4 linked regions of the Diceros bicornis minor genome follow. The protein of the gene in region 1 interacts with the protein of each later gene in a pairwise test. Links are inferred from orthologs where the notes say so. Each region holds a gene or a part of one and is shown in the gene's direction. Other genes may lie near its edges. The genes, in order: DISC1, SH3BP5, SMC3 and SPARCL1.

What was found.
Region 2: the proteins of DISC1 (region 1) and SH3BP5 interact in a two-hybrid assay, tested with the Homo sapiens proteins (2 studies listed by BioGRID and IntAct). The link is inferred for Diceros bicornis minor from reciprocal best matches to the Homo sapiens genes DISC1 and SH3BP5.
Region 3: the proteins of DISC1 (region 1) and SMC3 interact in a two-hybrid assay, tested with the Homo sapiens proteins (2 studies listed by BioGRID and IntAct). The link is inferred for Diceros bicornis minor from reciprocal best matches to the Homo sapiens genes DISC1 and SMC3.
Region 4: the proteins of DISC1 (region 1) and SPARCL1 interact in a two-hybrid assay, tested with the Homo sapiens proteins (2 studies listed by BioGRID and IntAct). The link is inferred for Diceros bicornis minor from reciprocal best matches to the Homo sapiens genes DISC1 and SPARCL1.

What each region holds. Positions count from the first base shown.
Region 1 is NC_080745.1:24,572,039-24,580,124, reverse strand, and holds the start of DISC1 (disrupted in schizophrenia 1 protein), read left to right. Parts: upstream 1-4,521; 5' UTR 4,522-4,577; coding exon 4,578-4,848; intron 4,849-8,086. UniProt on the Homo sapiens protein: Involved in the regulation of multiple aspects of embryonic and adult neurogenesis. Required for neural progenitor proliferation in the ventrical/subventrical zone during embryonic brain development and in the adult dentate gyrus of the hippocampus.
Region 2 is NC_080741.1:21,849,738-21,857,262, reverse strand, and holds the start of SH3BP5 (SH3 domain-binding protein 5), read left to right. Parts: upstream 1-4,304; 5' UTR 4,305-4,426; coding exon 4,427-4,561; intron 4,562-6,301; coding exon 6,302-6,364; intron 6,365-7,525. UniProt on the Homo sapiens protein: Functions as a guanine nucleotide exchange factor (GEF) with specificity for RAB11A and RAB25. Inhibits the auto- and transphosphorylation activity of BTK. Plays a negative regulatory role in BTK-related cytoplasmic signaling in B-cells.
Region 3 is NC_080745.1:74,336,743-74,344,592, forward strand, and holds the start of SMC3 (structural maintenance of chromosomes protein 3), read left to right. Parts: upstream 1-4,398; 5' UTR 4,399-4,489; coding exon 4,490-4,504; intron 4,505-5,610; coding exon 5,611-5,686; intron 5,687-7,850. UniProt on the Homo sapiens protein: Central component of cohesin, a complex required for chromosome cohesion during the cell cycle. The cohesin complex may form a large proteinaceous ring within which sister chromatids can be trapped.
Region 4 is NC_080747.1:71,568,853-71,577,482, reverse strand, and holds the start of SPARCL1 (SPARC-like protein 1), read left to right. Parts: upstream 1-5,063; coding exon 5,064-5,117; intron 5,118-8,092; coding exon 8,093-8,269; intron 8,270-8,630.

The sequences.
Region 1 (8,086 bases):
GGCCCTTTAAGAGCGGGTTTTAGTTTCTTTGTGAACCAGCTTTTCTGGGGGTGCTCCCCAATGTTTTAGTAGCAGGCAAAGTCAGATATTATGCTACTCGTCTCGATTGTGCTGGGTCCACAAAATGCCCACAGCGGGGGCGTTCCCCTGCTCAGGGCCCTGCGCCTCCAGGGAGGGCTGCGGACCTTTGGGCTGCTCCCGGGTGGCCGTGAGGCTCTGTGGCTTGTGAAGGCGGCATTTTTCCTCTCCTGAAGGGAGTGTCTGCCTCTTCCACCTCAGTTAGGATTGTCCGTTGTTGCAGGAGTTCCTCTTATCCAGTTTTCAGTTCTGTCTCAGGGGTAATTTTTCCACGAGTAGTTGTAAATTGGCTGTGTCTGCAGGAGGAGGTGTGTTCAGAGTCTGCCTACGCCGCCATGTTGACTTCCTCTCTCCCACAGATAGTAGTTTTGGCAGAGCATTGTGTGCAGGGATGGGAAATATGTATTCAGTGTGTCAATTCCAGTAAAAACAAAGTGCTGCCCCTTCCATGATGGAAGTGGTTCAATGTAATCAACCTACCATCAAGTAGCAAACTGGCTGATTACCCTGGGGAATGGTGCCATATTTTTGGTCTCTGCTGTTGCAAGATTGGACACTCAGCAGTGGCCATAGTCAGATTGGCCTTGGTGAGTGGAAGTCTATGTTGCTGAGCCCATGCATAACTTGCATCCCTGCCACCATGGCCACTTTGTTCATGAGCCCATTGGGCAATGTCAGGAGTGGCTGGGGCAAGAGATTGACTGGTATCCATAGAATGGGTTATCCTATCCACTTGATGATTAAAATCCTCCTCTGCTGAGGTCACCCTTTGGTGAACAATCACATGGGACACAAATATCTTCAAGTTTTTTGCCCGTTCAGAGAGGTCTCTCCACATACCTCTTCCTCAGATCTCCTTGCCACCAATTTTCCAATCATGTTCCTTTCAAATTCTTGACTATCCAGCCAAACCATTGGCCACAGTCCCCGAATTGTCATACACTTGTACCTCTGGCCATTTCTCCTTTCAAGCAAACTGAAAAACAAGGTTCGCTACTCAAAGTTCTGTCCACTGGGAGGATTTTCCTTCACTGCTGTCTTTCAGGAATGTCCCAGAAAGGAGCTGTAGTGCTATGGCTGTCTACTCTTGGATGGTGCCTGAACATTGTGCAGGAACATCTGTAAACTAGGCCTGAGTTTTCTCTTCCTCAGTCAACTGATCGTAGGGAACTCCCTATGAGGCCATAGCTGCAGGCTGGGAGAGAGAAGGTGATGTAGCAGGAGTGGGGACCATGGGCATTTGGGTCACTTCCTCATGTAACTTACTTGTGCCTTTAGGGTCTGCTCAGGCAGACCAGTCTCATATATACTACTTTCATTTGATGGAGCACTGCTATGTTCGCCCAACTTTGCGGCTTGTGGGTCAGACAACACCCAGTTCATGATGGACAGTTCAGGTTGCAGGGTAACCTGATGGCCCATGGATAAGAGCTCAGTCTCCACTAAGGCCCAGTAGTAACTCAACAGCTGTTTCTCAAAACGAGATTAGTTATCCACAGAGGATGGCAGGACTTTGCTCCAAAATCTTAAGAATCTGTGATGTGATTCAACTATAGGGGCCTGACAAAGCCTCCATCAGCATCTCTATCACCACTGACACTTCAGGTACCATTGGATTGGCCGGATCTTATGGCAGAGAAGTGGCAGAGAAGCTTGCATGGCAGCCTGGACCTGTTGCAGAGAGCCTTTTTTGTTCTGGGCCTACTCAAAACTAGCGACTTTTTAGGTCATTTGGTAAATGGGCTTGAGTAGCAAGCACACCCAAATGAGAAATATGTTGCTTCTAAAACCCAATGAGGACCATTAGGTGTTGAGCCTGTTTTTTGGGTTATAGAAAGGGCCAAATACAACTTATCCTTCACCTTAGAAGGGATGTCTCACACCACTGGACCTCTAGAAAATCCACTGATGGAAGGCCTCTGAATTTTTGTCAGATTTATTTTCCACTCTCTGACATGCAAGTGTCTCACCAATAAGCCTAGAGTAGTTACTACTTCATACTCACTAGGTCCAACCAGCATAACGTCACCAATGTAATGGACCAGTGTCAGAAAGGAAAGGCAATAAGGTCCCTGCTTGACTGAATTATGAGGTAGGGTTGATATATCCCTGAGGTAGGACAGTGAAGGTGTATTGCTGGTCTTGCCAGCTGAAAGAATGCTGCTTCTGGTGGTCTTTACTAACAGATATGAAGAAAAAACATTCACAGATCAACAGCTGCATACTAGGTACTAGGAGATGTGTTAATTGGCTCAAACAATGGAACTACATCCGGTGTAGCAGCTGCAGCTGGAATCACCATCTGGTTAAGTTTATGATAATCCACTGTCATTCTCCAAATCCATCTGTTTTCTGCACAGGCCACATGGACACGCTGAATGGGGAAGTGGTGGGTATCACCACCCCTGCATCTTTCAAGTCCTTGATGGTGGCATTAATCTTTTTTATCTGTCTTCGCATGCAGAATTGCTTTTGGTTAACTCTTTTCCTAGGTGGAGGCAGTTGTAGTGGCTTCCACTTGGCCTTTCCGACCATAATAGCCCTCACTTCACAGGTCAGAAAACCAATGTGGGGATTCTGCCAGTTGCTGAGTATGTCTATTCCAATTATGCATTCCAGAACTAGAGAAATAACCACAGGATGGGTGCAGGAACCCACTGTGAGAGGGAACTGAGCTAAAACTCTGTTGATCACTTGACCTCCATAAGCCCCTACTCTGCCTGGTAGACCATAGTGATGTTTTAGGTCTCCTGGAATTAGTGTCAGTTCAGAGCCGGTGTCCAGTAATTCCTGAAAAGTCTGATTATTTCCTTTTTCCAATGCACAGTCACCCTGGTAAGAGGCCATATGTCCCCTTGGGGAGGGCTAGAAGAAAGAGTAACAGTATACATTTTGGGCAGTGTTGTAGGGTCTTTCCTCCTTCATTCAAGAAGTTCTGGGTTGGTAAACTGCCTCAAGTCTGCCAGTTGATCGAAGGGCTGAGTCTCTCTGTTCTGGTAATTCAAGTTAGGCTTTTGTTCACTTGACCTAGAACTTTTCTGCTTATACAGATCAAATAAGAATTTAGTAGGCCTCCCATCTATTTCACTTCTAGGAACGCCATGATCAACTTGCCGACACCGACACTGTAGGTCTGTGGGAGTCAGACTATTCTGATTGTGCTTTGACTCTGTTGTCCATTACAGAAATCATGCCCACCTTGCCTTGGGTGATTCATTGCCACCATTTGACCCCTGTCAACTATAATCCAATTATCCCCGTTGCATTCAAGGATCCTAGTTCAGTGGCTGCAGTTCCCATTGTAATGTCTGACAGAGAGAAGAGTGACCAAGGATGCTGGGTCACAAGGTTATTTCTGAGTCACAGTGAAAGGTGTGTCCTCTGAACCCTCCTGGAGTGGAAAGCAGGTCTTACATGATAAATCCACTCTGATATTCCAATCCCCCTAAGCCTTTGGGTACTTCCTTAGCAGTATAGCAAGGCAGTTCTCGCATTTCCAGTGTAGGACAGCTCTTGGTCCATGTTTCAATCTAGAACCAAACTGTTAGAGCCTTTTCTAATCTCTCAAACTACAGCTTTGAATCCAGTTCTCTTAGTGGTATATATCATTAAACTCAGCCAGATCCAGCTTTATGCTCCTTCCATCTTCCACACATCCTTAATATCCATTCTCATATTCATTCTGTCCACAACACAACGACTTGGGAGTGCGTTTTCACTCCCAAGATTCTTATCTTTTGAAGGACCTTGGCCCTCCTCTAGTTCTAGTGACATCCTGCCCACTCCTCCAGAAGGTCTCCCTGACTCTTCACAAGACTCCCTCTTACCCTGGAACTTCTGCAACACTTTCCGTGCCAAGACTCTTGTGCCAAGACTCTGGCTCTTGGCATATCCTACCATATGTTGCTATTTAGTTTTATATGCATCTGTTTATCTTCCCGACTGGAGGCGAGCTCCTTAAGGGCAAGAACCATTTCTGGCAGGTGCTACCTAAGGGGGTGCTCCAGTAGCCTTCCTGAATGAGCCAAAGAGAAGAAGTGAAGGAGGTGAGTCAGTAGCCTAGGAGCTCCGCACGGATCACAGCTTGCGTCCAAGATGGGGAGGGGGCTCTGGGACCAGTCCAGTGCTGCCTGAAGATTCAAAAAGTTGGATTCACATTTCATTTTTGAACAACTGCTCCCATTCATCTCTTTCCCAGCGTCATCTGTCGTCTCCCCGCTTTCTCCTCACCCTTTCATCCCCTCCGTCTCCTCACCAACCCTTTGGTCACTTCCCTAATCACGCGTGTGGGAGGCGCCCTCGTAGACCCACCCCTGGTGGCCTCGCCGTCTCTCCTTCCCTGCGCTCCCGTTCGCCCCACCGCACTTCCCCTCTCATTTTCGCCCACAAATGAGCGAGAGTGAAAAGCGAACTTTCAGAGGTCTGGGAGACGGGCTGTGGGCCTGCCGGGCCGCCCGCCCCAGCCGCGTGCGTGCGTGTGTGTGAGTGTGTGTGTGTGTATGTGTGTGCATAAGGGGCCGAGGCTGGAAAGGAAACCGCTCGCCTCGCCGGGGAGAAGGAAGGAGCCTCCCTATTCCTCGCCGGCCCCCTCCCCACTTCCCGTCCGGCTCGGCGCCTCGCTTCCCCCTCCGCGGGCCTCGGGCGCACCGAGCCTGCTGACCGCCGACGAGCTGGAGGCGGCGGAAGCGGAGCGGGAGGAGCCGGCGGGGCGCATGCTGGGCGGGGGTCCCCAGGGCGCCCCGGCCGGTGGCGGCGGGGGCCACCGCGCAGGTAGGGTAGCTGTCACCGCAGGCGGGCGGGGCCGGGGGCATCCGGGCAGGGAGGGCGCGCTCTGCCCCCTGGAAATCGTGTGGGTCTGGGTGTGCCTCTGTTAACAGCTTGGGTTCTGTGCACCCTTTTCGAGGTGAGGGAAACTGAGGCAGGGCGCGTGGCGTGCGGGGTTGGGGGAGGAGTCCGGTCTGGGGCTGCCCGCCTGCGCCGAGCCGGGCCAGGTCTCTCCCCTCCGACTGTACTGAGATCCCGGCGAGCGGCAGTTTTCGAAACAGCGCTGGTAGGACCCGCCCCCGTGGCGGGTCTTGGTGGCCGAGGAAGGCGGCAAGGGCCTGCCTGGGGTTTGGGTCAGTCCCGGGACCCGGCGCCGCCGAGCCTCTCGTCGCTGTGCGCCCTCACCCGCTCACCTGTGGGACAGGGGACGCCCGGCTCGCCCTCGTCCCGAGACCCCGCTGAGAGACGGGTTCCACCCCGTCGGGGACCCGGAGAGAGGAGCTGGGGGTGGGATGAGGAATGTGGTGCTGGCACCTGCCCAAGGGGCTGCTCTGCAAACAATTTCGCCTCCCACTTCCGACTTGGCGACAGCAACGCCCACGGCCGGGCTAAGGAGAGACCGCTCCGTTTCCACTTCCCAGAACACGGGTCACGCTGTCAACTCTCAGTGTTGACACCGAAGCCATTAAGTTGATGGTTGCTTTTCAAGAGTGACAGGACGTGTCCTACCACCTTACTCTTAAAATACCTACAAAGGCATTTGAGACTTTCGGACGAGAATGCGGGTTGGAGTCAGGGAGTGCTGCCGTTGCGTCCTTGCTGGGCCACCAGAGGGCCGGGTAATTTTAGACACAACGCTTAGCATCTGGGAGCCTTGGTTTCCTCAAATGTAAGAGAGAGCACCCATTACCTCGCCTCCTTGTCTCACACGTGTTGTGCATGAAGGCATTTTGCCAACCGAACTGTCAGTTGGACAAATGCAATTTGGGTAGTACCAGAGAACTAAGAGTTGGAATTTGGAGATAGTCTGCCTGCATCTCAGTCTTGGACTTAGCCATGCCTCAGTTTCCCCATTTGTTAAATGGGGACAATGACAGTGCCCACCTCATAGGGTTGTTACGGGGTTTAAATGTGGCAGTGGCTGTGAAGCACTGAGCCCAGGGCCTGAGATGTGGAGTAAGCTCTAAATAACCTTAGTTGCTATTTTTACTAAGCAAAACCTAAATGATTTGGAGAGATGTGGAAATACCAGTTTGATTTGATTAAAGTATGAATAGCAGAGTATTTGAGAAGAAATTTAGTTTTATTCCATTCAGGTACGGCACATAAAGTCTTTTGGGGTTCAGCTGAGAACTGTGTCACTGAGCAAAAAGCGGTCTGGAGTGCTTTGACCCTGAGCCTCGGTTTCCTCATCTGTTTACACAAAAGATAAAAGAAAAGAAAAATGCGGACGGTAATTATGGCTTTTTGTACTGACAGAGCTGCCTGAGGATCAAATGAGGTAAAAAATCTGGAAGCACCTTGAAGAGTCTGAGTCACTGGCTAATATGAGACGTCACTGCTACCAGGAGGGAAGAATAACAGGGGCAATTTTTTGAGAGCTTACAATGTCAGGCCATCTGTTAGGAATTCTTCTGATGAAATCCGCCCCAAACCTTTGTGAGGTAGATATTTATAATCCTCATTTTCCCTGTACAAAGCTGATAATCAAGGTTACTCTGCTTTTGTCCCAAGGTCACATAGCTGTTAAGAGTAGAGCCAGGATTAAAATCCGGTGTGGGTGCCTCTCACAAGTGTGTTCTCAACCGCTGACCAAACTGAAGTTATGGAGATGAGCCATGGTTCAGAGTAGACCAATGTTAGATTACAGTTAATAATGTCTTGCATGTTTACAGACTCTAAAATATGAGTGAATTGTTAGCCCTGGCAGAAGAGACTTTGAAATAATCTTAATTTCTTTCATCTCTATTTTAAAATCCCATTTTAAATTATTTTCTTGCAAAAATAAACAATGAAAATTTGCAATAAAAAAGGTATTAAAATCTTGAAAGAACGTATTACAATAACTCATTGCAAATCTCAGACTAAATGGAATCGGAATTAATTTTATTTTAACGCTTAAATTTGCCAGAAACCTTAGAATGGCACAAGAGGTGTAACTGGGATTGAGGCTTTTGGTGTCATGGTTACCTTGCAGGGCTGGGACCCAGGACATTTCTGTAGGGACCTCACTGCTCACTGAGATGACCTCAGAGGGACGTGGACCTTCAGAGAAAGTCTGTGCACCTGAAGGGGGGTGAATGCCAGGTCTACAGGCTGCAGAAACAATTCCTAAGTCATTTGTTTCCTAAATGAAATTTCTCTTATTCTTTTTTCTTTTTCCAAAAGCAATGCGTGCTCATTACAGGAAGCACAGAAAACTATAAATAAGAAAAAGAACATAAAAAAACAACAGTGATCCTGAGCCACAGAAAGCAAGTGGCCAAAAGGAAGGGGAGTGGAGTGTCAATAGAGACAAATAGCTTGGTGTCTCTGCTCTTGTAATCCATTTCTGTGCTATGTCCATCAATTTATATCTGTTTCAAAAATGGGATGCAAACTATTATTGTTTTAAATGAAAAAAATAATATTTGCTTGTTGCTTGAACATTAAGACATTAATTTAGAAAAAAAGAAGCCAGAATTTATTATGCTCATTAAGCCTTTTCCATTTAAAAATAAACCTTAAACGTTTGATTGGAGGATTAGAGATTAAATTGTTGATGTCTGAATTTTATTGTGGTTTTGGTCAAAGTTTCAGAGCAAAGAGGGGGTACAATGGTGATCTTTAAATACTGAGAGCTAAAGACCAGCACAGAACAAAGTTTCTAGGAAAAATAAGTAGCATTTGTACATTAGGGTCATTAGACTAGAATTAGAACCATTCTTTTGATAATGATGATAGTAATTCAGTTTATATGCTGGGTTCTCATGCAAAGCAAGCAGAGAGCACTGCTGCCAGAGATGCCCTTGGCAGCCACTCTGGGAGTGAAGAGGGTCCCCTTTGGCACAGCTGGGGCCAGCCATTTTTCAGCCAGCACCATTTAGTAATGCAAGACGTTTAGCCTTTGGGAGTCTACCCTTGCTTGTTCTTGACTTTAATGACTGTGTGGTAAAAATTCCTTGGCGAATGTCTTTTGTGCAACAATCAGGCAATTTTTTAAATACCTGCCACAGATGCTTTAACCATTCTGAATCCCTTTTCT
Region 2 (7,525 bases), on another chromosome or scaffold:
CTGCTCCAGTTGCTGGAGTGATCCTCCCCTACAGGTACGTGTGGTTTGAGCTCTCATTTCTTTCAGGTCTTGGCTCAAAGTGCCCTTCTCGGGGAGGCCTTTGCCATAACCACACCTCGTCTCTCTCTCCGTTCCCTGCTTCGTTTTTGCCCTTAGCACTGATCACCCTGACGTATTATACATTGATTCGTTCATTCCCTCTCTCCTTCTACTAGAATGTAAGCTCCCTGATGGCAGGGAGTTTGTGTCTTTTGTTCGTAGTGGTACCCCTGACTTCTCGTATAGTGTCCAAATCATGTTAACTGCTCAATAAATATTTGTTGGATGAATGAATGGCATCTCATTTTCTACAGTCTGTAGTCCAAAGTTTTTAGCCTGGCATTCAAGGCCCTTGAGGACCTGCCCCAAACTATACTTTAGGCTTCATGCCCTGCTCCTTCCACTCCCCACCGTCCCTTCCTGGGTCCCAAGTCCGGATGATGTCCCGCCTTGCTGTTCCTGACCAGTCCATGATTGGTTCCATGAACCATGGTTCATCGGTTTTGTGGTCCATGAGGGGTTCCACGAACCCCTCCATGATTTCCTCCTGTTTTTTCCCCTATCTGGGAAGCTCTTTCTTTCTTTGGCAAAAACCTTCCTCCCTTGTTTGAGGAAGTTGTGTTTGTTATTCAAGGCCCAGTGTCAGCTTCTCTTTAACCCATCCTGGCCCTGCAGGCAGAACAGTGGGATGACTTCCGTGTTCCTGCCGAGTGTAACATGGCCCTTTTCAGTTGCCAGGAGGGAAAATGCTGCTCCCTTCACCTGGTTGATGGCCAGCACTCTCCCTCCTTCTGCCCTAAACTCAGTCAAGCGCTGTGACATCAGCACGTCGCCTCACTTCCTCTCATTCCTCCACTCTGGGGGGTTCATCAGGGTGGGGCAAAAAGACAAGTTTCTCTATTCACAAAAAGAGCTGAGGAGCTCAAAATGGATTAAAGACTTGAATGTAAGACCTGACACCATAAAACTCCTAGAAGAAAACATAGGCAGTAGACTCTTTGACATCGGTCTTAGCGGTGGCTTTTTGAATACCATGTCTACTCAGGCATGGGAAATAAAAGAAAAAATAAACAAATGGGACTACATCAGACTAAAAAGCTTCTGCACAGCAAAGGAAACCATGAACAAAACGAAAAGACAACCTACCAACTGGGAGAAAATATTTGCAAATCATATATCTGAAGAGAGGTTAATTTCCAAAATATATAAAGAACTCATACAACTCAACACCAAAAAATGGGCAGAGGATATGAGGACATTTTTCCAAAGAAGATACACAGATGGCCAACAGGCACATGAAAAGATGTTCTACATCACTAATTATTAGGGAAATGCAAATCAAAACTACAATGAGATATCACCTCACACCCCTCAGAATGACTGTAATTAACAAGAAATAACAAGTGTTGGAGAGGATGTGGAGAGAAGGGAACTCTCATACACTGCTGGTGGGAGTGCAAGCTGGTGCAGCCAGTTAGAGACCTGCAGGGGTCGCCACCCCAGACCTTTAGAGCTGCTGCTCCAGATCAACATGCCAGCTAAAATAAATATTAAGCATGTATCTGGCTTACAAGCCACTTAACACGGCTTGCCTTCTTAGTATGTGCAGTAGGCAGAATTCTAAGATTGGCCCATTTCCCACCATCCGGTGTATATACTCCTGTATAATTGTAGGAACTTGTGAATAGTTGAGATAGTCATGTCCACGATTAGGTTATGTATGTGGCACAGCTGACTTTAAGAATGGGAGACTTTTCTGGGTGGACCTGACCTAATCAAGTGAACACTTAAAAGGGACTGAGCTCTTCTTGAAGAAGAGACTGAAGTGTAACAGGGATTCAACACAAGTGAGATCTCTGTTGCTGCCTTTGAAAATGGAGGGGGCCACGTGACAAGGAATGCAGGCAGCCTCCAGCAGCTGAGACTGGCCCTTGGCTGACAGTCAGCAAGGAAACGGGCACCTCAGTCCTACAACCACAAGGAACTGAATTCAGCTGATAACCTGAATGAGCTTGGAAGGACTTTTTCCTCAGAGCCTCCAGAAATGAATGCTGTCTGGCCGACACCCTGATTCAGCCTGGGGGACCCTGAGCCCAGAACCTAGTCATGCCGTGCCTGAACCTCAGACCTAGAGAACTATGAGATAATGTGTTGTTTTAAGCTGCTAAATTTGTGGTAATTTGTTACACAGCAATAAAAAACTCATACAGTATGTATTATTTTAAATTTATTCTTAAATTATACAAATAATTATAAATATATCCTCCTTGTAAAAAATGAAAACATTATTGAGAGATTAGAAGTTTCCTCTGACCATCCTAGCCAATCCTGGGCCCCTCCCTACCCCCCTTTCCCAGGGGTAGTACTCTTTGTTGGGTCTGAAGTCCTTCTTCCAGACCTTTTTCTAGGCATTTATGTGCATATATATGTACCAATAGAAAATATATCGTATTGCTGTGGTTTGTTTATTTTCCTTATTTTAACTTCAGATCACTATTGGGATCAACACTATAGCTGGCCAGGTCTCCTAAAAATAAGACAACTAAAATCTGAACTCAAGTTCTAGAGCAGTTTCCCTGTGTCCCATGAAGGCGTTTTGAACCACTCTATTGCGCTTAGATCTAAGTTTAAATAGAAATGTGTTTTAGAGGCAGTTGTTTAGAATGGTGAGGCTGGGGTTCCACCAGCTGAGAAGCATTGAGAGTCAGGGCTGACCTCACATTTCTGGTTTTCCAGCTCAGTCTCAGTGGATTCACAGCTAGGATGAACCTGCTCAGTTATAGGCTCAATTCCCAGCCACCAGGGAAACAATGGTGACTCTTGTGTCCCAAAGTGACCCTAGTGACCATCTTGTCCTGGCCTTCATCCATCAGTAGAAAATCAAAAGCAACAGTCTTTAGCAAGGAACTTCAGAACATCTCTCCAAGAATTGCTGACTCTTCCTTAAAGAACAATGAAGAGGTTTGAACTTTCCAAAACAAACGTATAGCATACACCTATATTATGTCCAGGAGACAGGATGAATCTCTTTTGATGGTGGACCACAGTGCCAGCATATATAGGGTGGTACCTTACCCAAGGAGTAACCCTCTAAATTAGCTTCTGATAAAACCATCAGAAGCAGGTTTTCAAGGTGGCTTAACGATGGGATCTCAGAAAGAAGCTCCTTTCTCAAGCAAGTTTGTCCTCCAAACTCACAGAGCCAATCGGCCGTAAGCCTCTGTGTAGATGTGTACGCTTTCTGCATTTTTGTAGTGAAGGAGACATTAGCAGTGGCCAGTGGCAATGTCCTTGCCTGCTTTGCTAAGGTCATCTGACCTTGTGCTCCCCTGACATCACAGTGGCCATGACATTTCATAACAGCACAGACATGCCCCTTCGTTCTTTGCACTTTAGTGATGTCGAGTTTGCCAGGCAAGCTCTGCCTCCCTACTTACTCAGGGTGGGCAGGAAACCTCACCAGTTCATAAATCCTTGGACAGGGTGTACCCATTAACAGAGGTAACACTTAGCCCCTCCTTGAAAAGACTGTACCCACCCACCCACCCACATCCCTGATCAATGGATTTTCCATGCTTCCTGGCTATTCAGGTAGGACCATGCCACAACACTAACGCACAGCTGTTTGGGTGTGGAGCTCTGCCCAGCGCGGGTCACAAACTTTGGACAAAGAATCCGCGCCTGGAGCTGCAGCTGGCTCCCCTTTCTGTACTTTATGTCAATGTGAGCACGTTACAGTTGCCTTTTCTGGGGAAATCTTCAAGTACATAGATAGAATTCCCAAGATTCAACCAAGGGGAGAAACGTGCTTTGGGTGTATACAGGGGTTTGAGGAGTCTTGAAACTGGCCCAGGGTCACTGAGTACAGGCTTCTAAAGGTGATTTCAGAGACTGGAAATACCCCAAACTTTCCTTCCATACAGTCAATTCGCCTGGGCCGAGGAGGGAGGGAGAAAGCTGCCGGGAGAGTAGGTGGCCAATGTTGGGTGGTTTGTGATATTCGGGCTGCTAAGAAGGGGTGAGGGCTCTCCTATTTCCCCACGCTAGAGGATTTCAGAGGGCTGGGGTTTTTGTGACGGAGGCCTGGGTAACTGGGACCTGCCGAGGAACAGTCGGAGGCGCGCGGAGGGCGGCCCGGCGGGACGAGGGCGGAGCGGGCGCCGCTGCGCTGACAGCCGCGGCAGAAAGGGGGCGGCCGCGCCCATTTCCTCCGCTCCGCCCGCGCCGGACGGATCCGCATCGGCGAGCGGCGCCTCCCGGGTGTCGGCCCCGGCGGCTCCCGACCGTGCCGGGCTGTGGCGAGACAGCTCCGGCCGAGCCTGCGGCGAGTCGCTGCCCCTCCGGACGCTCCGAAGTCCCCCGCGCGGTTCGCATTCCGGCTGCCCGCATGGACGCGGCGCTGAAGCGGGGCCGCTCGGAGGAGCCGGCTGAGCTCCTGCCGTCTGCCCGGGACTTGGAGGAGGAGGAGGAAGAGGGGATGGAGCAGGGGCTGGAAGAGGAAGAAGTGGACCCCCGGATCCAGGTAGGGCGCGCGGGGGGCGCCCCGGATCCCGGCATCTACACTTATACCTGTCCCGCAGCCCCCAGTGCCTGCGTTCCGGGGAGGTGGTGGCCACGTAGGTCTGGGGGCGAGAAGAGAGCGTCTAAATACTCCGTTTCACCTGGTTCATGGGGAGGCTGCAGTGCCCGCGTGGATGCGGCCTGACTCTATTGTGGGGCTCCCCCTCGCAGACCCCTGGCAGGATCCGGGGGTCGCCGCAGCGTGCCCAGCGTTTCGGGCGGATGTGCAACAAAGGGAAAAAGGGGGCGGGGGCGCCATGTGGGTATCGGGGTACCCCCGGCTAGGCTCGCGGCGCCGCAGGCATTGCACGGCTGCCTGGCCCCGGGAGGAGGGGTGGGCCGGCCAGGGTGGGCGCCCGACTCCGTGGGCGGGTGGGCGAGCTGGGCAGGGTGGGCGTTGTCCGCCCCTGCAGCGTGGGCTGGCACCGGTGCCCTGGGTTTGGAGTCCCCACCTGGCGGAGGTGCCCGGCCCGAACCATATTCCTCCTCCTCTGATTCATTGTTAGCAAACTGAAGGGTTTATTGTCACCACTGGCTCAACCCTCCGCTTGGCCTCAGATGCTTTAAAGCCCAGCTTTTCCTTGTTAGGAGGCCGGGTGTGAACAGAAATCAGGGGCAACTGATGCGCAGAGCTGATGCGGGGAGAAGGCGAGGGGATTGGCCTGGCTTTCTGTGCCTCCATTTCTAAGGTAGATGATTAAAAAACAATTTCCAAGCCGAGATCTAGGAGTGACAGTTTAACCTCTTCACCCTCGAAGCAGAAAGCACAGCAAATCCCCTTTCCAAGACTCATTTTTCTACCCTTTCCATAAATCTTTTTTTTTTTTTTTAAATATTGCTTTTAAGCATGCTCTGCAATTTCTGGAGCCCTAATTGGTTTTTCAGTGCACAGGTCAATTAAAAGCTCATTTAATTCAGCTGTTGCTGTTTAAATGCATTGTTTTGGCAGATTAGCAAGATAAAGATCAGGTGGAAAAATCTTTGCATTAGGAATTCTATTTAAAATAATCAGTTTGGACTACTAAATCTTGTTTTCTTGGTACAGGAATTCTGTTAACAAGACCCTTTGTTTGTAGAATAAAATGAGTTAACTTCATGCGGGTACTTTTTACAAAGGTCAGTTTGTACATGTTTATTTAAAAGATCAGGATTAAAGCTAATTTTTTTATTAAAAAAAAAAACCAGCTAGGTAGGTTGAATAATAGGCAGTTTGAAAAGATTTTCATCTGTACAGAAAAATACTCAACTGCTGATGAATCAATGCCAGAATTCTGTCCTTGACTAAATCATTTCATTAGGTTTATACTTTTGGGTTGGCCTTGTTTATTTTCTATCATTGTCTTTTCTGCAAATTCTTGCTCTATGGCAGAAGGTACTGTTTTGATTTGGCCCCTACACCATTTGTAACAGGTGGGTTTACCTGAAGGCACATACCTGGAATAAATATTTGCCCGTTTAAGAGAAGACAAGTTCCTAGGACCTTAAGACATTTTCAAAAGGGACACCATCAAGAAAAAGGCTCCAGATATGCTGCCATTCCTTTGCTCTTCTAGCCAAGGCTTAACTATTTTCCTTGAGAATTATCTGAGTCCTCCCTCTTCCTACAAATTGTCCTGGAGTAATTCTCCAGGTAATGGGCTGAGTCATACCGGAAACAAAAGATGAAGCCCTTAAATCTTTTTTTCTGTCTTTTCTTCCTTAGGGAGAACTGGAGAAGTTAAATCAATCCACGGATGACATCAACCGACGGGAGACTGAACTTGAGGTACAGAAAGCTGGGTCCCTGTTGTTGGTGAGGTGGTGCAGTCCCGCTGACACCAGGCTGGTTAATTTTGTTTTAATAGCTGGCGTCCCCTCCTCGGAGTTGAGCAACAGCCTGCTGTCTGACAGAATAAAATACACCACTGAGCCCAGCTTGTGGGTGGAACACATGTGGATCCAATTTCACATGTTGTTTTTCATCATGGAAGCTCTGTGGGGCCAAAACCAAGAGCTTTACACTCACGGAAGCCCTAAAGTTAACGCGTCTGTGGAAAAGCTGGATGGACTGGGGGGAAAATTAGCTGAACTCTTTAGTGGAGAAGAATGAATGAGCTCATAAAAATCTCTTAAATATTTTAGGGCAGTTCCTTTTTTTTTTTTTTTTTTTTTTTTTTACCTTTCCTGCACTAATAATTCACCCCTTTCCACTTCCCTGCTCATTTCTTTAGTGTCTGCTTGTGTGTGGAATATAATTATCTTAATGGTAAGGAAAAGCTGTTTAGACTGCGAAGAGCTTTCCTGCTGGGAAAAATCTTGGGAGACTAGAAGTTGATTTGAATTTCATGAGCATCTTTCAACCTGAGTGTAAACAGATTAGCATTCTTCACAGCCACCAATTAGTCCCCATCCCTTTTCAGTGGTGGTTGGTTTTACCCCATCAGCAAATATGAACAAACCCTGCATATATCTGAGAGCCTGTGAATAACTCTGTCAGAGAGCTGAAGGAATGCAGGGAGCTGTTGGGAGGACCTGTTTCTGTAGCAGAAGAAATGGTAGGGAAGGTGAACAGGAAGGGCAGGAAACATCTGGTCCCTGGAGTGTGGGAGATAGGAATATAATCTATCATCAATACAATGGCAGCCTTGATTTCTGACTGCATGGCTAGGCCCTGGAGGTACCAAATCTGGAAGTGGCGATGGGGATTAAAAGCTTGCTGCTCCGGGCTGTGTATGAAGGGTTATGCTAACCCATCTATTCTGACTGTAGGTATCCATGAACACTGGCTGCCCTTCTTCCCAACTGAAGTGAAATCTGTGTGTTTATTGAAATTTTTTTCACTTATGATAAATCAAGTCTTTCTGTTGGGCAACTGAAATCTCTCAGAATCTCAGATTTCTAATACATTGAACAGCAACAGCAAAAACCCTATCATTTCTATAGGGAT
Region 3 (7,850 bases), about 50 Mb from region 1:
TCCCTTCCCACTCCATCACTTCTGCTCCCTGGGATCACTTCTTGCCTCCAAATCCTTATCTCAGGCTCTGCTTATGGGGGAAACCGAAATAAGATCCATGGGCAGCTGCCAAGTAAGCTAAACATTTCTTCTGCATCTTTTAGCCTAGGGAATCCTCCTTGATTATGAGTACTCCTTTCAAACATCAAAAACTTTCATGGAGCCTGTCTTCACCTTCTAGCAGTTATCTTCTTGGTATTCATTCTTCATTCATTCAACAGGCACTATTCTAAACCTTGATAAAGTACAGAATGGCCAACGCAACTATGACATCTATAACTCTTTTGAAGGGATGTATACATTTCATTTATTACTATAGCATCTATTGAAAACAATGGTGTTTACGGAGAAAGAAAGATAATTTTTAAATAGATAAAAAGGTGCTAAACCTTAGTCATAGAAATACAAATTAAATTAAAAGACATTAAAATACCATTGTCTACATTTCAGATTGGCAAAGATCAAAAACACTGTGTTGGTGAGGATTTGGGGAATCATTAATTTAAAAAATTATTGATCTCCTATCATGAGTCTGTGCTGGGCACTGAGTAACCAGCAGTTAACAAAGTAAACAAAAGTTCTTTTTTTCCAGGATCATACATTCCATCGTGGGAACAGGGGTATACAATAAATGAAAAAGAGAGGAAAGGGGAGAGAGAGAGAGAGAGAGGCAGAGAGAACATCAGATAGGGAATGCTCTAAAGAAAAACAAAGCAGTGTCATGGTAAGTGACCCAGGGGTAGTGTTACTTTAGATAGGGTGGTCAAAGAAGACCTTCCTCATAAGCTGACAATTGAGCAAAGGCCTAAATGAAGCAAGGGGTGAGTCTTGAGGATTTCTGATAGAAGCATTTTCCAGACAGTGTGAAGCGGTCAGGCAAATCCTTTCACAGATACCAATGATAAAAACTAGACTAAATGTTAGGCAATGATTTCTTAGATATGACACCAAAACCACAAGCAACCAAAAAAAAAAAAAATAGATAAATCAGATGACATTAAAATTTAAAATTTGCATACTTCAAAGGACATTATCAAGAAAGTGAAATTGGAATTAGAAAGAATATTGGGCCTAAGGTTAAGGTCTTCAAATCTTGCCTATAGCAAAAACTCTGGTTCTAGAAAAGGTGTGGGGGGAGGACGTGAACCTCCTGCTTCTTAGTAAATAACTCATTTTTGCATTTTGTGACTTTTTCCCCAAAAAAACTCTTAGACTAAATTTGGTGATTTTCTATTAAATACCTTTGAAATTGTAAAAGATCATTTTAAAATATCAATTAAATTGGAAAATTATCATCATACCTTATTGTTAAAAAATGTAACTTTGTGTTTAACTTTATAGTGATACAGTTACTACAGAAGGCAAAATTGGGAATTTGGAACACGGCATACTTGACTCCATGCCAGAATTTGAATTTCTGCACTAGTCTAAATAACTAAAGCTTTGTGTAAAGATAAAGTAAACATGAGATTTTAGTAACATGTTTGCAATTACAATGTATTTTAATTATATACATCACTGGTGTCCTTTATGAAATGTTTCTAGAATGACCCAGATAATCTGTATATCATATAAATCTGCACATGGTCTAAATCTGGGTATGGTTTAAACATTCATAGCTGAAAATTTTTCAGGCTTTTTTTCAGCTTTAAGATATATTTCACAGACAATAAAATTCACCTACTTAAAGTGTACAGTTCAGTGGTTTTTACTATATTCAAAAAGTTGTACAACCATCATTACAATCTAATTTTAGACACCAGGGATGTATATAAGCTGTTTGTTATCTTTTCCCAGGGACTTGCTGGATTTGAGTTTGGTTATAAACTATGAACAAAAATAGCTAACATTATCTCTTGTACGAGTTGTTTTACATAAATCATCTTAATTTATCTGCACAGAATTTTTAGTAGGTATGATTATAATCTCCATTTTATAGATGAGGAAACAGAGGTTCCAAGAGGTTCTTCTCCAGGTCAAATAATCAGCAAATGGTAGGGCTGGGATGTAATATGGGACTCCCAAAGTCCAACTCTCAGCATACTCACGCAGGACTCTTTGTGGAAGCAGACCTCTGTCTGCATCTCTGCTGCCTGGAAGGGCAGAGAGTGGTCCCATTTTAAACACAGGAAAACTAAGGTCATGCAGTAAGATGGTGTCAGCATAAGATCCCTGGGTTTCCAGTCCAGCATGGAACAATAAGCACCCTTGTTCCTCACAACATCATAGTGAGGAAAACATAAGGGAGACCACACTCGTGATAGCACAGTGAAGCTGGTAAAAAGCTACACAAATATAAGGGACTATGATTGTTGTTTGCCTATGCTTTCAGTATTTAAGAGATTCTCGTCTTAAAGAGATTTATGATTAGTGCCTCTTTTTGTTTTGTTTTGTTTTTTTTCCACTTCAGTATGTCCGAGGATCATGTTGAATCAATCTGAGGTGGAGCTGAGGGAGAAAAGTAAAAACACTGAAGGAGGTGATGCTATGTGGTGTTCATGGGATGTTTTGATGTAAAAAAAAGAGCCTGCAGTTCTCACCTGCTTGACTATGAGCAAGTAGGCATTGTGTAGTTGTCTGCTTCATGGAGTCGATTTCATTTGGGAATGTCCCTTTGCCGCCAGATAGTGCATGGGTTTGTTGAACCTGTCCTCCCTGCTAAAGGAGATCCGTGTGATGTACTGTTAAATGCTTCCCAGGGGAGAATGATGCTGCCATGGGGATGGGAGGTGGGTAGCATGGGGTCATGTGGAGCCTTGAAATACCAAGAGCTGGCATAAATGAGCCAGGCTCTGTGGTAGGTAATTTGCTTTCCTACAGTTTTCATTCATAAGTATTTATGAGTACTTTCTAGGAACAAGTTACTAAAGAAACAGCAGGAAGAAGATAAAGGCCCTTCTCTCTTGGATTTATGTTGTAGCAGAAAAAGACAATAAATACACAAATATAAATAAGACAAGTATGTTAAATTCTCAAAATCACCTTTTTATATTTTAAGTTTTCACTCATATTTATTTTTTCTGCCTGAATAAATTATATAAACTAATTGTATAAGATTCATTTAACATGGAAAGTCTAAGGAATAAAAATCTCATCACTGTGACAAACATCCTTTCATCTACATATCTATATAATTTAGGTAAATAGGATTATTTTATACATCCTGTTTTTAATTCTAAACATGAAGTGGTTTTATCCTCATTTTATAGCCCAGGAAATGGAGGCTTAAAACTTTAAATATTCATATATGCCTGCAATCCCACAGTTAGAAATTGACAGTGTAGAGACGCTAATACTGGAGAAATGTTTATTTTAAAGAGATATTTTTTAAGCCAAGGGCTGGATAGGATTTGATCGGGGCTTGATAAAGGACTCTGCCAGCACCGAGGGGTGCTGACAGGTTTGAAGTTAGGAGGCTATTAAAGATAGTTCAATCTTGAAATATTAGGGCTGGAACTGTCCCCGACAGCGGGAGGGGCAGCGAGGACCGACCGACTTGAGTGGCTGCTGAGCAGCAGATAATTTTACAGCGACCCAGGGATCCAATTTCTAACCAAATAATTTTCCCCTAAAACTGATACAGATCAGATACACCTAGTGTTGCCACTACCACCTAATATCTTTCAGGTTGTTTAAAAAAAAAAAAAAAGGAGCTTTAATCTTATCTAAATCTCTTTTTGTTGCCATTGTCCAAGTCTGCCTAGATTTATGGCAAAGGGAAGAGGAATAACAGCTCCCGGGTTATTAATCATCACATTATTAAAACAAATTTTCGAGCGTTAAGTCCCTTCGGGGCTGTCCTGCGAGTGGGTGGTCTGGAGCCAGTGGGGGCCATTGTAAGTTTATAAGATATAAAAGTGCCTAGAGCGAGAAAGAATAATGGAGCGGCAAGGACTCCGACCACCGAACTCCAGCCGTCACTCAACTCTGTGGGGTCAGGGACAGACGCCTCCCGCGCCGAGTCCGCCTTTTTATAAAGCCCGAGACCACGTGGGCAGCGCCCCGCTCCGCTACTGGCTCTGCGACTCTCACCCTCGGCTTTGGCGCCAACCTTTCCCCCCTTGTGGACGCAACCATTGGCTCCGCGCTCGGAGGGAACACGGGCCAACCTCACAATCGAGGCCTTTCAGAGTGAGGCTTCCGACGAAGTCTCAGGCAAGGTTCAGCTACAAACTAAGGAATCAAATGAAATCCACCTAAGGACGCCGTAGAAGCCTCCTTTTGTCCAAAAGAAGAGCAGACTCGACCCTGACTCCCCCTACGCTCTGTGGGGCCCGCGAGGGTGGTTCCGTCCGAGGCGCGGGCTCCGCCTCCACGGGCGCCGCCATTTTGTTTGGCTGAAGGGGAGCGAGCGGCTCTCTGGGGGAGGGGTCGCGTTGGCGCCTCGCCTGACCGCCCTGCTGCGTTTGTCAGGGGGCAAGGCCTTCTCCCCAGCCAGGGGCGCGGAACCATGTACATAAAGCAGGTGAGGCCTAGGCGTCCTTCCCACCCGTGAGGACCGTTCCTTGCGGCGGGGGTGTTGCGGCGCTACCCGTAGCCTCTCCCCTCTCCAGGGAGGGTGGACTCGGGGCCGCACGGGGATGAGGGGGTGGGAGAGGCCCCCCCCGCGAGCGCGGGGGCTGCTGAGAATTGGGGCGCCCCTCTGCAGCCCGGGCTTCCCCGCACAGCGCTCGTCTGAGGGGCGCAGGAGCTCCGAGGGGTGCGGAGCGGCGGGCGGCGCGGGCCCTTTGGAGGGACCCGGCCTTCGCAGGTGGGCTGGGGTCGGGAGAGGCCGGCGTGCGGGCCGAGGGCCCGGAGCTGGCGGGGGACCTCGTCGGGGACGGTGGCGGCCAGGCGGGCGAGAAGCTGCTGTCCTGCGGGGATAGCCCCGCGCGGGTCATTGGCGGGCGGGGTGTGTGCAGAGGTGGTCGCCCCGGCCCGGGGGCGCCCCTGGGGGCACAGGCTGGGATGTCAGCCTAACCGGCCTTTCATCTCCTGGATTCACGGGAGAAGGGAAAGGGAAGGGATCCTCCTCCTTGCAGAGTGGGTAGCGCCTCCTGGTTCAGTTGTTTACTTTTGTCAAAATGGGCTTCCCGCGCTGGAGTCCTCCACCAAGATGAGCCGTTCGCACCCTTTTGGAAAAGAGTCTCTGTTGGAGATGTTGGCCTCTCCTCCATCCTGGAACGTCTCCTCTTTTTGGCCGGCCCTTGTGTCTGCTTGAAAGGAGCGCCCACTGCTCCTGGAGGCAGGAAAGCTGGGGCCAGTCCGCCTACTTGCTAGACTTGTACTCTAGGACTGCAGTGTTTAGTGTTCCAACCAGCCTCATACAGTGGACTGGATTTTGAGAGTTCCGTAACGGGTTACTAATTATAACTCCTAAAAAAGCAGCGCTGGCTATGGTTACTGATAAACGGGCTGTTTTTAGAAGATTTTTAATCACCACTTTCCAAAATGAGTTTTTCTTATATGAAATTGAAAGTTTTCTACCTTGCATTAAATGGGAAACAAAGAAAGGGAAGAAGTGCAAAAGAAAAATGTTAGTTTAAAAAGTTTTTTCTTTGTGTTCTGAAAAATGCCTCTTTTATTTATTAGGTTATTATCCAGGGTTTTCGAAGTTACAGAGATCAAACAATTGTAGATCCCTTCAGTTCAAAACATAATGTTATTGGTAAGTGTTCATGGTTTAGTAGATCCCATTTCTATCTCTACAGCCATTTAAATTCTGCCTATATCTAGGTTTAAGGAGACAAGGGTTGTCTTTGAATATTACATAAATTTATGTATATTTTTCTATATGAAATAATTTCTGTCTTATCTGCACTGATGAATTGCTTATTTTATACATTTAAAAATGTATAAAATACACCTGTATAAAACATGTATTTTTTTTTTTTCTTTCTGTGAGGAAGATCAGCCCTGAGCTAACATCCATGCCAATCCTCCTCTTTTTGCTGAGGAAGATTGGCCATGGGCTAACATTCATGCCCATCTTCCTCTACTTTATATGGGACCCCACCACAGCATGGCCTGACAAGCCGTGTGTCAGTGTGTGCCCTGGATTCAAACCCGAGGCCGCCAGCAGCGGAGCATGCGCACTTAACCACTACGCACGGGGCCGGCCCCTAAAAGATGTATTTTAATGTATAAAATACATTGTCTTGGGTAAGACCATCTTAAGTTACTCATTTTTATTTGGATAGCGTTGTCTGTGTGTAGTGTGTTTTAATAGCTTTAAGTTTATAGTGAATGACACTAAATTTAGCATTTGAGCTATTGTTCTTGATATGTCATTTCCTAGTTGAAATGCTCGCTATTGCCTTATTTCATAGATGACCGTTCTTTATTCACAAATTAGATTGCTCTTAGATTTTTTTTTCCAGTTATAATGTCTAAGGACAGACCATGCAGCTTGGGAAGAGCATAAACTTGGGAACCATAACAGAATGCAGTTCAAATACCAGTTCTGGCATGTATTCTGTTTTAAACTTTACTCCCTGAGGGGCTTCAGTTTTCTCATTTGTAAGGTGGCAATAATGGTACCTACCTCATAGGGCTGGTGGAAAGATTAAAGGAGAAAGCGAATGTGTGAGGATAAAGGGCTAATGGTGATTACCCTACAATACAGTATTTAGTCTGTAGGTTCTTCAGATGATAATATTCCATTTTGTTGATACAGCCACTGAAAGTGTTTGCTGATGTTCTGCTGAATTTTTAAAGAATAGATGAAATGAGTGCTTCTAGACACCAGAAAAACATAGAATGTGCTATTGACATAGTTAGACTTCTGCTACACAGTGTCCTCCTTACGGAGTATATTGGTATATTAGTCTGCTAAGTCTGCCTTAACAAAATGTAGATTGAATGGCTTAAACAACAGGGTTATTTTCTCACTGTTTTGGAGACTCAGGTCCGTGATCAGGATGCCAGCATGGTCACATTCTAGAGGCCTCCATGCTTACGTGACCTCCTTTGTTTGAGTCTCTCTTCTTTATAGAGCACTAATCCCATTATGAAGGCCCCACCCTCATGGCCTCATCTAATCCTAATTACCTCCCTAAGACCCCCATTTCCAAAAAAGCATCACATTGGGCATTAGGGCCTCAACATAAGAATTTGAGAAGGACGCAATTTAGTCCATAGTATGGGGTGAGGTGAGATTCATATAGAAATCAGAATGAATGCTGATGTTCCCAGAGAACATGGGAGAATCATACTTTTCTTTATTTTGAAATAAAGTAATACATGATAAATTTTAAAAATTGAGGGCAGGAAAAACCTGCCCTTAATACATCAACTGCAACCTTGTAGTTGGGAGTAAAGAAGACATACTTTTTCCCCCTGCTATACCTACTGAAGACTTGTTAATTGAAGTGGTTTGCTGTAAGGTAGCTTGATTGTACTGGGATTTTACTTACATTTTGATTGCAAGTGCCTTCTGATTTTCATCAATCAAAATCTTTAGAAATGGAGAAAAATGAATAATTACTAGATATATGTTATTTCTTTAACTTACAAGTTAAAAGTAGATAAATAAATCAATTGTGTGATTTTTATAAATGAGCTGTAAAATGATGACCATTATTGCCTATGATGATTAAATTATGTCTATAGGGCATCAAGTATTTTTGTTGTAGCTATTATCAAACAACTGTTTTACTACTTTGATTGCAACATTAGGATTGTTAATAGTCACAGTTACAAAGGAAATGATCTAAGTGTTCTTTCTTTTGTTTATTTTAACTGAAAAACAAAACATAATATGATTTTGTTGGTTTAACGTGTTTTAAAAACAGGTACTTTAATATTGTAAAAAAGACCAAAAGTGGTATAGA
Region 4 (8,630 bases), on another chromosome or scaffold:
AAGAAAATGCAGTAACAGTCTCTTAGCCTAATTCCATTGTTGTTTGTGATGAATGTAGGAAAGACTCCTGGCATTAAAGGGAGCTTTGGTAAATGTGTGGGCAAAACAGACTCTAAATGTTCCACTGGAAAGTTATTCTGAACTCACAGCACAACTTAAATTATATTATTTTCTGAGGCTCTAAGTTGTTTATTCAAGAATCACAATTTGACTTTTATGGAAGATGAGAGAAGAAAGAATAAAAATTTATTGAACACCTCCTAGGTATCAGACATTTTTACAAGTATTATTTCTTCTAATCTTCACAAAACCAAATTAGATATTGTGTTAGTCAGGGTTCTCCAGAGAAACAGAGAAAGAGAGAAAGAGATTTATTGTGAGGAATTGGCTCATGCAATTATGGATGCTGATAAGCTCCATGGTCTACAAGATGGGGACCCAGGAAACATGGTGGTGTTATGTAACTCTCCAGTCCTTGTCCAAAAGCCTGAGCACCAGAGCACTGATGGTATGTGTCCCAGTCCAAGGGCAGGAGAAGACCTGCATCCCAGCTCAAACAGTGAGGCTGAGAAAGCAAACCCTCCCTTACTCCACATTTTTGTTCTATTCAGGCCCTCAACAGATTGAATGTAGCCCATCCACAGTGGGAAGGGCAATCTGATTTATGCAGTCTACTGATTCAAATGCTAATCTCTTCTGGAAATACCCTCACAGGCACACCCAGAAATAAAGTTTAACCAGATATGTGGGCACCCCAAAGCCCAGTCAAGTTGTCACATATAATTAAGCTTCACAGATGTTATCCTCATTTTTAGATGGGAAATCTGAGACTCAGAGTGTTAAGTAACTTGCCAAAGATACATAGATGGCAAGTGTTGGTCCAAGTTCAAATATATGACTTTCTAACCCCAAAGCACAACTTCCTTCTACTAAGCCAGTAGTTCTCAATCAGCATGATTTTGCCCTCCAGGGGACACTTGGCAACGTCTGGAGACATTTTTGGTTTTTGTAAGTGGTGGGGGATGGAGGACTTGCTACTGATATCTAGTGGGTAGAATTCAGGGATGCTGCTAAACATCCTACAGTGCACAGGACAGTCCCCACAACAAAGAATTATCCATCCCAAAATGTTAATAGCACCAACGTAAAGAAACCCTACACTAAACTATGTTAATTTGCATTTTTACAGTTTTCCAAAACAGTAGAATAAAAATAATATGCTGATCTAAAATATGAATGACTATAGTTCCATAAATTTAATAAGTACTGGTGGAATGAATGAATGAATGTTAAATTCTGAAATATAGAGGAAGGAGACTACATTTTTCAATGACTCTTTACAATGAGCATTCATTAAGAGAATAAAATATTTTAAATTATCATCAATAATAGAGATGGAAAATAGATTCTACTTATTTACTCAAAGCATTAAATACCATACAGAAAATATTTTATTTTGATACAAGAAAATCATAAAGTATATTTTTAGTGGGTTTAGTAGTTTAAAGAAAAAAAATAGCAGCAGTTTGTTGTTCATGGAATTCATAGAATTATTTCCAATTTTAGAACTATAAAATATTGGAGCTAGAGGATCATCTAGGTCACCCTCTTCATGGTCCGTCACTTAAGAAAACTGTGTCTAAGAAAGAACAAGTGACTTGCACACGGTTTCTTGGCCAGTTAAGGACAGTGTTGGAGCCAGAACCCAGCTCTACTAACAGTTTAATGCTTTTTTCATTCTAAGGTGTTTTTCAATAAAACTGAAGTGTTAGAGATGTGGGGGTGGGGGGCTGCATGTTTTTATTTCAACTTGTTCTTCATTCAAGGGAAATTGAATTTCTACACTTTCGCCTTGTTTATATTACCAAGCAATGGGCTGTCTCTGCTCGCCGCAATCTGAGCCAAACAATCACAACGAGTTAGACATCGAGAAAGGAAGTTTTGGTTCTATTAGCCGGCATAATCAGGAAGATGGCAGACTAATGTTTCAAAAAACCAACTTCAAAAATTATAGAATCTTGAGGTAGTTATATAGGGGAAATGGGCAGTAAGGAGGGAATTTAGAAATGTCGGCCTTCAGGCATGATGGACTCCAGAATCTTTTGTTGTTCCTTTCTTCTGTCAGCGATGATGAATATCTTGTAGGTGTGTTTCCCATCTGTGGTCAGCCTGTTCCTGGAAAGAAACTCATAGAACAAAATTTTAATTTATCAAGCTATAGGGGAGTACACACGCAAGCAGAGGCCATAAATCAGGAGAGCATGTGAATTATTTTATAATTTTATTTGTTTATTTATTTTCCCCCCAAAGCCACAGTAGATAGTTGTATGTCATAGCTGCACATACTTCTAGTTGCTGTATGTGGGACGCCGCCTCAGCATGGCCGGAGAAGCGGTGCATCGGTGCGCGCCCGGGATCTGAACCTGGGCCGCCAGCAGCAGAGCGCGCACACTTAACCGCTAAGCCACGGGGCTGGCCCGTAAATTATTTTAGAGTACGTGCAGAGCAGTGAGTAGTCACACAAAGGAGGGGCTGGGGCCATTGAGTGTAACAAGATGAACTCACTTATGTTCACTTTCATTTAGACTATAAAAAGCATTATTGAAAGGGTCTTTTGATATCAAATAGCCCAACTGACCTTCTATGCCTTTTTTTCCCCAACACAGAAAAATGTATTAGCCATGTATGCAAAAGCTTAACCCTTAAAATGTTTGGAACTCTTTATTTAAAAATTGGAACTGAATTCTGAATTTTTCCCAATACTGGTTTTGGGATTTTTTTCCTTCTTCCCTACTTCTTTGTGTAAGAGGTAAATGGAGAACTTTATTTGCTAAAGAGCTGGGAAAGCACCAGAGCAGGAGCCAGGGAAGCTGGGTTCAAGCCCAGGTCCCTTTTGAACCGCTCTGTGACCTTGAGCACGCACTGTCAGAGCCCTTCCAGGCCTGTTCTTCATCTGCCACATCATGGGGTTGTTGCAAAGATCAAATAAGATAATATCCCATCTGTAAATCTGTTTGGTAAACCCAAGGCACTTGATGATATAAACTTCCGGTATCTCTTATACACCATTACTAGTTCTAAATAATGTTTATTTAAAGATATAAATAATGTAACACACATTCCACTGTTAGTACTCTGAATTTCTATGTAAGTTCTGTACAGCCATTTTCAGAGGGGCCCCTTAGAGGAATTAAATTTAAGTCTCCAAGCTGAGTAAATGTTATTTTCATTAAAATTAGAATAGATTAGTTTATTTAAGGTTATATAAGGTTATAAATGATTTGAGTTTTTCCGCTACACTCAATCCTGAATCACCTTCTATGTGCAGCTTTAGTCTCCATCCTTCCAACACACTGTTCCCTAGTCCAGGTGGCCCACCCTGTGGCGTTGGAATAGTGATAAAGGTGAAAATGTGTTCTTACTTGTTTCTAACATGATAAGAAAGTCTGTGCTGGCACCTATAGCCTCCTTTTCATCAATATAACCTTTATTTGCTAATAGAGTTAGAACCAAAGACTATAGTAATTTCTACGTGTCCTAAAAAATAATAATAATAGTAATAAATAAGGAGATATAAATCAGGTGAAGAAATGGAAATCGTCTGTTGATTAAATGGAACAAATGAAATATATGCATATATTGCCATTCCCTGCTAAAATTCCAGCATAATGATAGGAAAAGAAAAATAACGATATAAACACACAATGACAGAGAAAAAAAAAGGAGGAGACAAAGAAGACAAAAGATATCAGCAAATTTTTAGAAGATGGAAAGGAGTTGGAAGAACAGGGAAAGCTGAAGCCTAGGGGTTTTCAGCCAAGGGTGCCATAGACAAAGAAGGCAATTCCCACTGCAGAACCCAGAAAAGTTTCAAGTATTGGAGGCACCAGGTAATTTGGAAGGCGAGATGAAGGTAGAGGCTAAAATCCGGAGGATTGGTTGAAAGCCTATCAGATAAACATACTTGAGACACTTCCTCATGCCTGCACAGCCAGTGGACTTCCCATTTCACCCTAAATAGGAAAGACAAGGTTATTCTCTGGCCCTGGACTTGAGATAGGCACAGTGGAGGGTGGGTTGTGGTGCCGTACAGAAAGCTGGGGACTAAGTGAGTGTCAGTGTATGCACTGACAGATCTCCAGACCCTTCACTCATTCATCTCACAGAATGCTAGCAACCAAGCTTATACTCCCCTCTCCAAGGTAGGAGATACAAAGAACTTCTCTAGGAAAAAAATGTCTCCCCAGAAGGAAAGATCTGACAATGACATTTGGGGTGCCCCATCAAGACCGTTAGGTTCCTGCCTCAGCCCCTCCGTGGAAGCTCTCCAAGGTGAAAAGTCCTGCCCTTGAAACTTCTAATTGGCTTTTTAGTGACTCACTATTAAATATTACTGGACAACCAAAGACATTAGAAATTTCAGAGAAGCTTCCAAAGAGAAAAACAAAGACCAAACCAACAACCAGGAAAAAAAAAGAATAATACGGAAACAGAAAATGCACGGTGCAGAGGCAATTTTAAAATGTATACACAGTGCCTACCAAACCCAACCCATCTACAGACCACCGCCAACTCACAGATCACCAGTGCAAGACCTCTAAATTAGATGGACATTGATGGCCCCTAAAGCCAGTGCCATGTCTCATTCCTAAGAACCTTCACTAAATATACGAGTTTCTCCACACCAAAGAGGCAATTTGTTGAAATATCATGTTACTTCACCTTGTGCCTTTTATCCTCACTGTGAACACTCACAAATCTTAAGACCCAAGATCTTCTTAGAGTCTTTATTCAAGGAAGCACAGTCATAAACAGAGATAGGCTCTGCTGAACACAGCTGGGCCAAAAAATCAAGGAGTCATTCTCACAGGGACACAATTGGGTAAAAACTGTCATTAATCTGTCTTTCCAGACATGTTAGTCCCCAAAGATGACAATCACCTTTAAATACAAAGGATGGTATCAAGCTCAACATTTACGAAGAAGATTACCTTTTAATCTTTCATGAGGAAAATATTACCCACCACGGCTAATTGTCTTCTTGGTTCACAGATCTGGAAAGCATGGAGACGGTGCTTTTCTTCCTCTACGTTTTGGGAACCGCAGCTGCAATCCCGGTAAATACTCTCGCTTCTGTTATTACAGCTCTACCTCCCGACACTTAGTTTAGAAATCCTCCATTTACATGAAAATGTTCTTATACAGTGGTTTGAAATTCTCTTTTTTGTTTTAATCATAATATTTTTTTGCCCAAGCAGGGAATGGATGACTAGAAAAGTTGAGATGCTATTTTTTAAAAATATTTCTTTCAGAACCATCAGATTCTACAAGATGCAGTAAATATGCAGCTGAAAGTGTTGATTATTAGTTTATTAGCCAGGGGATATGCCCAAATACCAAAGACAACAGGAAGAAATAGATTCTCCTGTGGAAATTCAACACATTTGTCTAAGAACTCTAAGAAATTTGTTTAAGAAATCTTGGAGTGCACACCCGCACAGTCCAGCAGCACTTTCTGCAAGATCAAATACAGTCTGGCTGAGAAATTCTGAGTCTGTAATAAAAATGGGAACTGGTGGGTTGGGGGCAGGAAATGGTACGGTAAGCATAAATCAGCTCCTAGCTCATCCTTCAGGGTCTGTCCAAACAAACATGCTGAAAGCAGACAGGACTAGAACACTTTTTCTTCATGGTCAAGTATACTGGCCTTCCCATTCAGACAGCAATAAATCAGCCGTACACAAACCAGACCGTTTGAGACCACATCAGCAGCCTCACAATAACCTGGATGTTGAAAGAAAGAAAGAAATGAAAGAAGGAAGGAAGGGAGGGAAGGAAGGAAGGAAGGAAGGAAGGAAGGAAGGAAGGAAGGAAGGAAGGAAGGAAGGAAGGAAGGAAGGGAAAGAAAGCAAGAAAGAAAGAAAGAAAATAGAACCAGAGCTTGGATGATCATTTAGATGTTTCCCCAAATGATCCGTACCATCCTTAATCAAACTAAAGGATCTGTGCCATTTTTTCTTTCTCACCACACTGAGGAATCAGCCTCTTTAAACACACAAAGCAGTGTATCTCTTGTCCCTTCTCTGACTCCCTCTCCATGCCTAAGATTCTGTCCTTGCTTTTTGGATAGCTGGTGGCTAGATTCTGGTTGACAGATGTGTCAGCAAACACAAACGCCCCGCCACCCAGACCAAGCAGTTCTTGGAAAACAGAATTTACAATCACCGCGGAGAATCATGCTTAAGTAGTGTGGAGCTACTCCAACTGAAATTATACATTGTCCTCTGAAATTACAAAAGTGGGATAAAGGATGTTCAGCATAGAAAGGAGCACCCACAGAACCACTGTTTTCTCCTGAAAATGTGTTTTGCTCGTGCAGCTGTTGCCGCCATGTAAACAGGCAGCAAAGTGTCTGAGAACCAAATGTGTGAATGACACGCCTGCATATAGACACATCCCAGATGTTTCCTTTTTAGGACAGGTTGTTATCAAACAGACCCAGTCAAATGCTAAAAAGCTAAAACTCTTCTCATAGAATTTACCTATTAAAAATCTTGTATCATTTTCCCCTCCTCTCTGAATTCTCCAGAAATCAGTGGAGTCTGTGTGGTTAGGAGATTCCACACAGATGTCCAGAGGGTATGTTGTTATAAATATAGAAGGGGGCATAATGATAACACAGAATTTCATGTTCAGAAAATTTTCTGAAAGAAGATGAGCTGCCATGTTTTTTGTGCATTTCTTCCATTTTGGGGAGAGGGAATGAGGAGGAAGGGAGCGGAGAGGGGAGCAGTTCTCCACTGTAAACCTAAAATCTCCTCCATCCACTGCCTTTCATGATGCCCCTGCTGGCAACTTGCTAAACTGGCCATCATTCTTTCTCCTTTTCCCTCTTAAAAATAGCTTCCTTGGAAATTTTTTCAAATATTATTACTCCTCTTAGTTGAAAAGGTAATAAGAAGCAAGAGAGCCAATCGAATCTAAAATAAATCCTGTACTCCATGGCTTTGTGTATATTGCACAATCAGCACTACAGGACCTGCTAATGGAGTAAAGAGGAGTCAATGCAAATCGAATCTGAGTTTTATACTCACACCTGGATCTCTCTGACACCTGGGTGTCCACAGCATCTCTCACATGAAGATCCACGGTGAACGCCTGCCTAGGATATCAGACAGTTCATCTTATGACCACTGCAGGATATTACCACTAGAAATAGTAATTTTTCACTTGGGTAACTCCTTAAAATTCACAAAATATTTTATGTACATAACCTTATCTTGATATTTCTGCTCACTTCACCTTGAGAAATGACAGAATGATTAACAATTTGTCAAACCGCAGATGGATAGTAAATAGTAGAGTCAAGACTTGAAGGAGGGTCTCTCATCTCTAAGCCCAGTTGTTCAACTTCTCCATTACGTATCACTGTTCAGCTCTTCATCTGTCTTGCTAGAAATAGACAGAGTCATCCATCCAGCAGAAATAATACTCCACAGCTGCTCTTCACTACTATACTTGGTGCCCTGTTTCACACAGCTTTTTAATTAGTTCTTGATTAAATTGTTTTTTATTGGAAGACTTTTTGGTGGATATAGGGCTGATAGTGTTAAGAAAGTAAACAAATATTAAATAAAAGGTTTATAACTTTTTCTACTAATTATCTGTGAGTACTTAAAAGTAAGCTTAAGAAAACGTACAATGCTATATCTTACTGTTAATTTAATTTGACTTCAACTTTCTGCTAAACAACATTTTTCAAAATTATAAAGTGTGAATGCTTTGTAAAAGTTTGAAAAACACAGAAAATAATTCCGAGACTCAAAGGTCACTATTCTCGATACCATTTTTGCTCTATTTTCACCCAGTTTCTGCATATATAACTTTTCTTAAACATGACTGGGATTCTGTTTTCACTTAAGATTATATTCTGGACATTTGCTTGTATCTTTTAAAATTCTAGAAAATATTTTTAATTGGTATTATAAATGAGGTATATTGCTACGAATAATGATGACAATAAAAGAGTAACTAGAAATTTAAATACTAACATCTAGATATGAATAATACAAACTAGTTTTAATTTTTTCAGACAAATGCAAGGTTCCTATCTGATCATTCTCAACCAACTGCTGATTCCTTGAGTTCCATCCAACAGGCTGAATTGTCGGTAACACCTGACAACACTGCAGTCCCCATTTTAAGGGTTGAAGATTCAGAAAATGAAAAGGAAACTGCAGTATCCACAGAAGACCATCTCAACCATAAGGTAAAAGTAGCATGGTTATGCTAATATAATTTTTAAATTCTCCAAAGGTCTCAATTTAAAAACATGGTCAAAGATATTACCTCATTGTCATCTCTATTTAATTTCTTTAAAGATGATCATCACATCAACTCTCCAATCACTAGAAGAATTGTGAGAATTAATGAGTTTCACTCCTTTGGTTAAAGTGCTGTATAATCATTGTATTTCATAAAACTCAAATTCAGGTAAAACTTGTAGCTATAGAAGGTGAAGAACATCATAAATAAGTTTATACGACGTCAAATAAGAAAAAGACTAATGAATATTAAATGTTGGCTTATGGATTGTAAATATGATGTACATATTAAATTATGATTTGTTT